Linked DNA regions of Bombyx mori. The protein of the gene in region 3 interacts with the protein of the main gene of each other region in a pairwise test. Links are inferred from orthologs where the notes say so. Each region holds a gene or a part of one and is shown on either strand. Other genes may lie near its edges.

Evidence for each region.
Region 1: the proteins of proteasome alpha 3 subunit (region 3) and mesoderm induction early response protein 1 interact in a two-hybrid assay, tested with the Caenorhabditis elegans proteins (2 studies listed by BioGRID). The link is inferred for Bombyx mori from reciprocal best matches to the Caenorhabditis elegans genes pas-7 and T07F8.4.
Region 2: the proteins of proteasome alpha 3 subunit (region 3) and GATOR complex protein Iml1 interact in a two-hybrid assay, tested with the Caenorhabditis elegans proteins (2 studies listed by BioGRID). The link is inferred for Bombyx mori from reciprocal best matches to the Caenorhabditis elegans genes pas-7 and depd-5.

What each region holds. Positions count from the first base shown.
Region 1 is NC_085118.1:3,183,046-3,187,404, forward strand, and holds mesoderm induction early response protein 1, read left to right. Parts: upstream 1-1,487; 5' UTR 1,488-1,698; coding exon 1,699-2,913; 3' UTR 2,914-4,273; downstream 4,274-4,359. Other genes in the region: transmembrane protein 87A, read right to left, coding at 84-144, 953-1,042.
Region 2 is NC_085116.1:10,881,181-10,884,837, forward strand, and holds part of GATOR complex protein Iml1, read right to left. Parts: intron 3,002-3,657; coding exon 2,524-3,001; intron 2,376-2,523; coding exon 2,227-2,375; intron 1-2,226.
Region 3 is NC_085124.1:6,958,028-6,962,301, forward strand, and holds the start of proteasome alpha 3 subunit, read right to left. Parts: upstream 2,890-4,274; 5' UTR 2,778-2,889; coding exon 2,757-2,777; intron 2,553-2,756; coding exon 2,346-2,552; intron 958-2,345; coding exon 709-957; intron 1-708.

The DNA.
Region 1 (4,359 bases), on a different chromosome or scaffold from region 3:
TCTGATTTAAGAAATTTGTAGTAGTTGATTTATAACAGATTTGTTTGTCACTTATTTTAAGAGCATTAATAAGTAATACTTACTTGCAATTATAAGCTTTGTATTCTTAAATAATGACTTTGCTAATGTGAAATGACAATCATCCTGAAACCAAAAAGTATATTGCATTACTGGGCATATTATGGTTTGATAGGAACTTGGGTGGTTCAGATTTCACAAGTAGAGTAGATCAGATTACATCCCTATGGTGGTGCAACCAAATTGGCAACTTAATGCCTATAAAAGGTAATTTGTCAAACAGCAAGTCTTATCTTGGGCTAGATTTATCCTAACCTAGTCTAATCTTATCTCCTTTCTTTTCTTCTTTTTGCTAACTTCTTTTCTTTCCATATGTCCCATAATAACTGGGTAACTAAAATCTATACTTAGGTATTTAAATTATTGGTATAGACAATAGATCTGTTATGACACAGCTGCTCCCAGTTGAGGATAAGATCAATTGGTTTCTAAAGTTTTGAAGCTATTTAATAATATTTGTTAAGAATATTGTAAGATTACTGCTTGTAGTATGTTTCAAACCCTGGCAGAGTTTCATCCTCAATATAAGTACATGGACCTTGTTCTCATTAAGATATGATTGTTATTTACAGTTATTACAGTTAATTATTAGTTTAGTTTCACAGCTTTTGGCTTGGGCCAAGGCTAAAGGGAGCCAAATCTACAGTTTTAACTGAAAATCATGTTTGATTGGACTATGTTGCAGCTATACCAGGTTATTATTTTCATGAACGTACACTAAGTAAAGATGTGACAATATTATCGTCTCTTTTTTTTTCAATCACTCAATTCTGACGACACGTTCAATACTATTTCTGTATCTATTATTTTTATCTAACTACCGCAGCTACCCAAGATAATTATGAAATTAAACTGAAATTTTATTTAAACTTACGCCACTAAGTTCCAAATCCCACTTTCCGACATCGGAAAAACTGTGCGTACATTTTACAATTACAATAAAAATAAGAAGCTTAAGAAACATTGTAAATTACATAAATGTACTGTAATATTATAAATATTTCATTGCAGTCAATATGTAACCAAGCAACATTTTCCAATAAAAATCTATTTTTTTGCATTAAGCCACAACAACGAATAATATGATCACCGCGCTTAGAATTAACTTTTCTGACATTGATTGATATTTGACAAATGTATGTGTTTTTTTGACAAAATATACATCGCGATAACTTTACAACCTATCTCCTCAAATATTAAGTGCATTATTTAAGATCTATCTGTAGACGTCGTTTGTTTACTTAAGTCAAGAATTATTAAATATTACTTAGATATTCTCTACTATAATACTCCATTTAAAAAAAAACATTGGCTTTACATACCCGTTGAAAATAATGAATTTTGTAATTATTGCAAAGCTTAGCTGTATGGTCAACGTCCTCTTGCCTGATTTTCAAGAAAAACAAAACGACCCACAAAAAGTAATTTGACATTGTGGTTGTCGTGTCAAAATATTTTTGTTTTGTTCTTGGAATATTTAATAAAATAATCGGTTATTGTGTTATTATTCTAATGTTTTATGTTTACTTTTATTACAAACCGTACATTTTGTTACACCTAAAGACTATTTATCATAATTAATGAAGTTAAAATTTCATCCAACTTGTTACTGTATTAGTCATGTCAGATTGCGCGCTGGTTACCAATGTAAGCGAACACGATGCGAGCATGGATGTGGGGAGCGACAAGTCTCTATTCGAGCCTACTGTTGATATGATGGTCAATGATTTCGATGACGAGAGAACTTTAGACGAAGAAGAAGCTTTAGCTGCAGGCGAGCAACAGGACCCTAAGGCCGAGCTCAATAGCCTTCAGAAGGAGGGAGATATGCCTTTAGAGGAACTCCTGGCTCTGTACGGTTACGACAGAAACATGGAAAAGCCAATTCCTGACCAAGTTCCAGAAGTAGTTCCTGAGGAAACTGAGAGAACGGAGAGGGCTGAGAGGACTGAGAGAAATGAATCTGCCCTTTCCCAATTATACAATGAGAATGCAAACCCTGAAGCTACTAGATGCCTTCGGTCTGGCTCAAGGCCTCCCTCTGAGGAGGAAGATGATTATGATTACAGTCCAGATGAGGAAGACTGGAAAAAAACTATAATGGTTGGTAGTGACTATCAAGCTGCTATACCTGAGGGTCTATGCAGCTATGATGATGCATTACCTTATGAAAATGAAGATAAATTACTATGGAATCCTTCTATTCTTGATGAAAGAATCACTGAAGAGTACATGCGAAAAGTGTGTGCTCTGAATTTAGGCACCGGGATTGAATTAATTCCAAAAGGAAAACAGCTTCGTGATGATGAAGAGGCCCTGTACTTATTGCAACAATGTGGCCACAATGCAGAGGAAGCCTTGAGACGGAAACGCATTTCTGCACAAACTCCACCTCACGCAAGTCTTTGGTCAGAAGAAGAATGCCGAAATTTTGAAAATGGCCTAAAAGCACACGGAAAAGACTTTCACTTGATAAGGCAGAACAAAGTACGAACTCGGTCTGTCGGAGAACTCGTCCAATTCTACTATATTTGGAAAAAAACTGAAAGGCATGATATATTTGCAAATAAGGCTAGATTGGAGAAGAAAAAGTATACTTTGCATCCTGGTCACACTGATTACATGGATAGGTTCTTAGAGGAGCAAGAGGCAAGTGGAGGAAGTGTGGTGCGACCTGCATCTCCATCGCCCATGATGGACTATGCAACCTCTCCTGTCACTCAACCCGACCCTCTTGCTCTTGGTGAGAAAGAAGTATTTTCACAGTTAAATACACATAACACACCCCCGAGGGCCATGTCGACAGAAGAACCAGAAGCAGACACTGGACCGTAATTTTAATTTCTCACTTTGTAGAATGCACTGTTTGTAATATACTTAAGTAAATTTTAAATTAGAAAGATAAAAAAATGCTGTAATATGTGTTTAATTCTGTGTTGATTTTATTTGAAATAGCTTTTGCTAAATTGTATATTTCAACCTAAATAATGAATATAGTTTATAGTTTATATGTCAATATTCTTACTGTAGACTTAAACTATAAGCAGTGGTTGTTTATGTACGTTAGTATAATAATGTTCATTGAAAAAAATGTAGAATGAAGAATGTCTCACTATAATCGTTGATTCAGGTGTATTGTTCAGTAACCGTGAAGCATGGAGCAAGAGCTTGTTTTTAAGTCACAAAAATAAAGTAATTTTTAAAAGTTTAAAATTCTTTAGGAATATTATCCATTAATACCTAATGTAGGTTAGTATATAAATATATCAATCTTAATGTTAAAAAAATATAGGTATAGAATTCTATCATTTTCTGTAGATGTGTATTAAGCTCTTGTGACATAGCTTTCAAGAAATCAATTTTAATGATTTTACATATTTAATTTTGGATTATCCAATTTGTAATTTAAATTAGTAATTTTCTAAAATCTGTATACTCTTTATAGACACAGCTATTGTGTTCATTAATTTTCTTAACAATGCAAACTATAAAAGTGAGTAAATGCTTGTGAGATTGTACACAGCGAAGGCTGCTTAGTCAGGGATGACTATAGATTGTTTCGAACAACTACTAACATAGATAAGACATTTAGAAACTTATTTTTTTTAACACCTATATGATACACAGACCTGTTTTTGTTCATTTTTTTTTAACACCTATATGATACACAGACCTGTTTTTGTTCATTCCTCATCTGCATGGATGCATAAATTAAAAATCGCCTATCTTTTGTTTGTTATTGTACACATAATTATTATTGTATCCATAAATAGTACCTAATTTTCTAATTTCATATATTAAATACCAATCTCAGATTTAATTCACTGTTTCATACATACAGATAGATAGGCTGCTGAAATTATCAGGGTTTATTTTATTGCCATTTTGCTATGGGATTTTAAAACGTAATAGACCTAAAATAAGATAAATTCCCTTATTCATAAATCATATTGACATTAATTATTTCTACAGTATTTTTATATTTCTGACTGGATTTTATTTAAATGAATGAGTATGGTGGTTTATTAGCATTTGATTTGTACAATGTACAAAATAATATTAATTTGTTAATAATATTTGTGAATAAGGGAGTAAAATAATTAAATTATGAATTTATGAATGTACCTGTCTATATCTAGATGGGTGTCGTATAAAATTGTGGATTATTTCATGAAAATAAACAGTGCAAAATGTTTTTGTTTATTTCACACTAGCTTTTGCTCGCGACTTCGTCTGCGTGGAATAGTTACTTTGGCATAACGCTAAATTTTACCCGCCTCT
Region 2 (3,657 bases), on a different chromosome or scaffold from region 3:
AAATTTATTAAATGTAAACAAACGTGATTCTATAAACATGAGTGTAAAATCAGTAAAAGTTGGTAACTATGTGACTAATTGTTTAATTGACACAGGTAGCGACTTAAATTTAATAACTTTTGATTTGTTTACAAAACTAAAATGCGAGTACATACCAGAAAAAATGTTGCTTACTGGGTTAGGAAGCTCTAAGGTATATTCGATTGGTAAGTTCGACACAGATTTAACTATTGACAGTCACAGATATAGTATTAATTTGTATATTGTACCTACAGGTGGAATACCATATGATGTAATACTGGGTCAACAATTTTTAGTAAATACTATCACAGTTATTGACAAGGGTTTGGTTGAGGTCAGGCCTCCTTGTTATGACATATCGTATCAAAATGCTATCTGTCTATCTTCTAGTAGCAATGACCAGTGTACAGCGGTGAGGGAAATTATTGACAGTTACACACCTTTGAAGACTAAAGATGCACCTATCAGGCTGAAGATTGTGTTGAAGGATGATGTACCAGTTTCACAAAGACCAAGACGACTAGCCATCACTGAAGAACAGTTAGTTAAGCAGCATGTTGATGCATTGAGCAGAAACATACTTTTCACTGACCGAGGTACAGCATTCACAGGCAGTGAGTTCCGAGAATATTGTGAAGAAGAAGACATCGAACATGTTACAATCACTACTGGAATACCTCGTGGAAATGGCCAAGTAGAACGCATGAACAGTATTATTATTTCTGCGTTGACAAAGATGTGTATTGAAGAACCTGGTCACTGGTACAAATATACAAGCAAACTACAACAAGTGATAAACAGCACATACCAGCGGGCAATCTGTACTACGCCATTCGAACTGTTAACAGGAGTGAAACTTAAACTGAAAGAAGATTTATCAATTTTAGAATATTTAGAAGAAGAAAATAGATTGCAATTTATGAATAGGAGAGAAGAAGCACGAAGAGAAGCCAAAGCTCAAATTTTAAGAATGCAAGAGGAGAATAGAAAGACTTATAATAAACGACGTAAAGTAGGAGAAATGTACAAGGTTGGAGATCTTGTAGCTATTCAAAGGACACAATTTGGGAACGCCCTAAAATTGAAACCTAAATTTTATGGACCATATCGCATCACTAGGGAAATGGGGAAAGGTCGATATGAGGTCGAAAAAATAGACAGAAGCAAAGATGGGCCAGTACGAACTACATCAGCATTAGATTTCATGAAGAGGTGGCCTTGACTCAATCTAACTCTGGTCTGAGTGTTTAGGTGCATTGTAACACTACACTGTTTGTTTATTTTAGGTTGATCTAGTATTTACATTGCTCATTTTGTTATTGAATAAGTAACTGTGAATAATTATTATGCATTGCTGTTCTCTGTGTCATTGTAACTTGTTTGCCTCTAAACTGATAGTTTAAACCTACTGTTTTTGTTGTGTTATGTACTAAGTAAGAGTAATTACTATTTGTTTTTATTAGCTGTGTGCAGAGTTATAGCATGATTGTTTGTAATAGGTAGTATAAGGTTTAACTAAAAATATTTTTGTAGCGTTATTATTGTGTAAAAATGTTTAGAAAAAAAAAAAATTTGCATAGTAGTAGTATTAGGTAAATTAAGGTAAAGTTAGAGATTTTATTTTTGTTATTTTTATTTTTAATTCATAAGAACTATTTTATTATCTCAGTACTTTCAGTCTGAGGCCAGACTGATGTGCAGGAAGGCCGAGTTGTAGGATTTAATTATTTAATTATTACTAACATTTCTAATTATTGTAAAACATTTCTGAACGAGTGAAAGATTCTGAACGCATGATGTGTGAAAGGGACGGATGTAGCTCTAGTTCGCTCTCTCGCACGACGCCGCCATTAGGAGTAAGACGTGTTCAAAGTGCTCTCTAAGAATTAAATAAAAAGTATTGTGAAACCCTAGAAAAGAGTATTTCATTTAGACCCACACCTACATATATATATATATATATATCAAAATTTACTTGGTACATTAAATTGGTCTATATAATTATGTTCTCATAATCACATCAAGCTAGATAGGTTGTGACCGCATTTGGCTGTAAAGTGTCAAATATTCATCTCTTTTGTGATATATATATTAATGGAACTGGCACAGAGAGAGAGAGAACATACTTTATTGTACACCAAAACACAATTAACATTAGAAAACAGTCAAGAAGTAGATTTGTACAATAAATAGGTAGGCACATACTTCCAGAAGTCAAAAGATCTCCAAGGCTATGATGGATGTCCGGATCCGACATTTTTCTGTGATGCAAAGTAGAAGCTGGAGGGCTCCTACGATTTAAGCCTTCTAAACCCGCCACAGAAGTTTTCTTAGTCCTGGCGACCCTTTGTACCCTGTAAATGTGAAAATCAAATTGATATATTGTTTCCTGTTATGATGGATGATTTTATGATAATAAATGTGAATTCTAATCACATAAAAAGAGGCAATAATTAATGGAATATTTAGATTTATAAAAAAAAACATAATTTGAATTCTTACCGTGTGCTGTGAGCGGGGGGTAACTGAAAAACTTGCGCGTCGTATGCATCATAATCAAATATAGAATTGTGCATACATTCATCTTCTTTCAACAATTTACCTTTCCTCTCATCTTCATACATTTTACGTAATGGTTCTTGGCTCTTTCGTGGAGGCAATTTAATTCTTGGTATGAAATTGGAATAAGCCACTTTTTTATTTGTAGAATAAAATGATAGATTAATCCAATGTGGCATCGAATAATCATCAATTGAATTCAAATTATTGTCTTTATTGTGGAACTTTAGTAAAGGCACAGCATGCAGAGGTTGTTCTCCTACACAAACTAAGTCACTGCCAACACCATTGTCAATGATTCTTTGTTTTGTAACATTAGTCAGTTCTCTGTCGACTTCAAATACACCTACTCCTGGGGTTATTACCACACTCAGCTGCCCCGTTCTGTCGAAACATCTATCCAGGTAATGTTTTTCGAATACTGCAAAAAATAACAGGGATAATATTTGTTTTAGCTTTGATGGTTCATTAGAGATCCAAGGGAGTCGATGGAGTGAAAGTAAAAAGACAATGATGTCACGGTTCATTTTTAAGGATTTATTTTGTGTTAGATTTTTTTAATTTGTCAAGATCTAACTTATTAATTTGTGTGGGTTACTCATATCAAACAATGCAACTATGGAAGTGTAGAAAACTTGCAGTTGACTTCAATTATTCTAAATAAATCATTATGTTACAGGTGTTCGAACACACCACTTTGTGAAACTAATCTCAAATATCATTTAAGGATAATTACACTTAGTAGGGTATTGTGAACCAAAAGATCATATGTGGTATTGGTAGGTACCACCATCTTGCCTATTTCTGCCGTGATGCAGTAATGCGTTTCGGTTTGAAGGGTGGGGCAGCAGTTGTAACTATACTGAGACCTTAGAGTTTATCTCAAGGTGGGTGGCGCATTCACGATGTAGATGTCTATGGGCTCCAGTAACCACTTAACACCAGGTGGACTGTGAGCTCGTCCACCCATCTAAGCAATTATCAAAATGAGTGGCACTGTTTACGTTGTATCTATGGACTCCATAACTAATAATATCATCTAGAGTGAGTGCTAGTTCATACAACAACAATAAAAAT
Region 3 (4,274 bases):
CACCTGGTGTTTAAGTGGTTAACTAGGCTCATTGCATTGGAATGTGAGTGCCACCATCCAAGAATTAGACATGAGGTTCAATTTCCAATTATATGGTTATAAAAGGCTCATGCAAATTGGAATACATGAATACTTTGCAAAAATAGGTTGGGCTCACAAGAGACCTCTTCCTTATTGCCAGTTAATAAACAATATTATTCCTTCATTACGGAATTAATTCATTAGTACATATATTCATAGAAAAATCATTAACTGCCTGCGGGTTTTGAACACAGGCATATTTCGATACAAGATAACCAGGCATCTTGGCCTTTAGGCCAAAAATCCCTTCATAAAAACTATTACAGAAACAGACTTAAGGTGGAATATCTAAATAATTCCTTGAGGTGATTAGTGACATTCATATCTACAACATTGTGAGAAAAATACTAATAACATTATAGATTTACTGGTGGTAGGACCTCTCCGTGCAGGTAGATACCACCACCCTGCCTATTTCTGCAGTGAAGCAGTAATGCGTTTCGGTTTGAAGGGCGGGGCAGCCGTTGTAACTATACTGAGATCTTAGAACTTATATCTCAAGGTGGGTGGCGCATTTACGTTGTAGATGTCTATGGGCTCCAGTAATCACTTAACACCAGGTGGGCTGTGAGTTTGTCCAATCATCTAAGCGATAAAAAAAAAATAAAAAAAAATATAACAACTTACAAAAGATACACCACTGGGATCTAGCATATACATCTGAGGGCCTTCATAGTCTGTCCATGTGCCCATAACGACTGAGCAACCATATGGCCGAACAGCGCTGTATAGTGTGTATGCGTGCATGTACATTGAAACTCGTTCATTTAAATACTTCAGTGGTACTGGACTGCCATACTGAGATCTGTAGTTTGATGCCTCTGAACGAGCAGTCTCGACAATTTGTCTTGCATCTGATATGAGCCCTGCGACAGCCTGAAAACAGTTTTTATATTGTGAAAAAAAATTAGATAATCTTTAGTGATTGACTTGAATGATTTCTTCAGAGGGATATGGTTACGATTTTTGGAACGAAGTTCCTTATGGGACGATGCGGAGGGGTACCCTAACCGGGAAAAAACGTCCCTAACGTAAGATTTTTATTAGTAATGCACACAGTGTACAACTTAACTTTGTAATAACGTACAAAAAATAACACATTTTTATTATATATTTTTTATAAATCATTGTGAATAAGATAAAGTTGATAACTTTGTTAAGTAGTTTTTATTTATTTTTATCAATAAAAAAATCATAATAAAAAATGTATACCTGAATAATTATTTTCTTTATACCCCGAATAGAACTTAAAATGAATATTTTTATAAGGAACTTCGTTCCTATCCTGTGTCCCATGACACCACACATCTTTTTTTGTTCTTTTCATTCCTTTGTAGGTAGATAAGCATACTACATACTTAATGGTCAGTGACTAACATTGCTCATAAACATAAGCAATGCTAGGAGCACAGTCAAGTCGCTGTTTAATACTGAGTACTCTTCGTACTATGAAGAGTGGGATATTTATATTCAAATATTGCTCAGTCTTAATGACAAACAATTATGGAAGTCACTGTTTTCACTTTGTGATGTCTATGAACTTCAATAATTGTCCACCCATGTTATGGAAGAATCACTACATAGTATAAAACAAAGTCGCTTTCTCTGTCCCTATGTATGCTTAAATTTTTAAAACTACGCAACGGATTTTGATGCGATTTTTTAATAGATAGAGTGATTGAAGAGGAAGGTTTATATGTATAATAAATCCATTAAATAGTGGAGAAATCAATAATAATTTACAGTTTCCGAAGCAAAGCAAGGGCGGGTTGCTAGTAAAATATATAAAAATCATTAAACATTATATAAACACAGTACATATTACTTTTCCTACCAAGTAAAACAAGATTCTATTCTATTAACTGAACATTCAATAAGTTAGTTTGCCTACATATTGTTAGTAGCATCTAGGGTTTGCTTTACCGAAAGTGCTCATAGGGCTTAGTTGGGAGACTTGGCTAATACTAACCCTAGCAAGAGCAGTGCTTAACTGAATCTACCACCAGATGAGAATAGCGGCCTACTGATAAGATCCAGGAAAAAACTCAGCAATCTGTCTGTGAGTTAGTTTGTATGACAAACCCTTCATCGCATTTAATGGATTCACAGAGAATGGTGACTGGTGCTTGGAATGTCTAAACGCACCGATAATAGGATCGAGAGTATCCGAAATGATTAAGCTATATCAATCTCTTTATAACAAATATGTTTAAAAAAAATACTAACATATTCTTGACTATGAATTTATAAATAATATTACTGACCATGCCAACATGTTCATCAATATGGAATATCCTCTTGTTTGCGCCAGGTTCATACAGTTTGGATGTGATTAACTTCTCAACAGCAAATACCACTCCGTCTTTTCCTCGGAGGCCAATTACTGTTCCAGAATTTTCTACAGCCTTTGCAGCATATTCCACTTGGAAAACGCGACCATCAGGAGAAAATTGAGAAGCCGATAGGTCATACTGAAATAAAAAAAAAGCAATGACTGGACAGTTTTGGTTTTTAAAAAAACAAACTTCTACGATGAATCATATATTTTTTAAGAATATTTTTAATGATTTAAACATTGATTATACAGATAAATTTATTGTTTCAAACATTGTACAAAAACCTAAATTGTTGAAAACTTATTGACCTTCTAACCTCTCAAAATGATTTTTACTTACGCCAGTTCCGATAGAACTCATGTTTACGCACTGTTTAATATATTTCGATTTCTACCAAGACAAATACACTAATGTTGGTCCAAAATATAAATTATTGTTCCGAAAAGCGGTATTCGAGATAATCACAATTTGACAGTCATCATTAGGTTCATACGTTCATAAATTGTTTTTGTTGATTTGTACAGTGGACAAGTAAAGGAAAATATGCTCATAAATCCTAGTATTTTATAACAGAAGCCGAGGCTTTCTTTGGGATTTTGCATTAATCTGAAATTATTTTAGAATTAAATCGATAAAAATGAAACGGGATTTTATTCCTGACCTATGCTTTATCAAGCAAGTCATGTCCGGAAATTTTGTTTTATATGAGGCACTTTTATAAATATAGACACTAAAAGGTTAACTAATACCATAGCTATTACTCCACTCTAAAAGTAAATTTAAAAGTATGCTTTCTGATCACAAATAATAGGTAATAAAATTTATCCTTAACGCACTGTTGGTCTAGTACTTAATGTACTTATATCATTGAACATTAATTTTAGTAGGTAAGCCCACTGAGTTTCTCGCCGGATCTTCTCAGTGGGTCGCGTTTCCGATCCGGTGGTAGATTCTGCGAAGCACGGCTCTTGCTAGGGTTCGTGTTAGCAACGTCGTCAGGTTTGAGCCCCCTGAGCTTACCTACTAGTTAAGTTTACGTTGAAATAGCCTCTCAAGGCTCTGCTAGGTAGAAAAAAAAAATAGTACCTAGATACTAAAGCTTTTCGATTGTCTCATGAGTAACACAGATTGTCACGATTCGCGCAAAAATATCAAAATTATTGGATCACTGTAGAATAAAAATAAATACGGTTTTTTCCTGATATTACGTCCATCTGGGTAACTTCAGCTTTCCGTTTAACATTAGCCCACTTACTCACTTTTTACATATATTTATTGTTTTATTTCCAAACGAGATACATTTTACTAGACTTCGAATTTTTTTATCAAGAGGTTTATTATTGAACGAAGAAAGCGCGCCAAAATTTGATATTTGTCAGCAAAACTTTTCTTTCTTGAGGTTGATTGTGAAGTGGTAGGTGGGTGACAAATGAAACATCGCTGCAAAGTTTTTTATATTCACACTCAAAAGTTTCATAGAAAGGTAAGTTTGTACTTTTTTTAATAAGTAAAGGTTGCAGATGTAGTTTCATAAAAAAATCTATATGATCTTTAAAGTTGTTTACGTGTTTGTCTTGATTTTAATTCGTTTGGTGAATATTTGTGCTAATATGGGTAACTTTAACCCGGGCAAAATTTAAAAATAAGCCGATGATTGCGTCAAGAACATGCACAAATAGCCCTTCGAGAACAGCTAGAAGCTTTCACGGTGACTAACCTTCCTATTACTAGTTTTTTATCACCTATTCCTAGTCCTTCAAACATAAAATCGACATACTCAGTCGACCTACCTACCAATCAATCATCTTCTATCACCTACCGCTGAATCCTCATTTAATATTGAAGCTACAGTCTTTC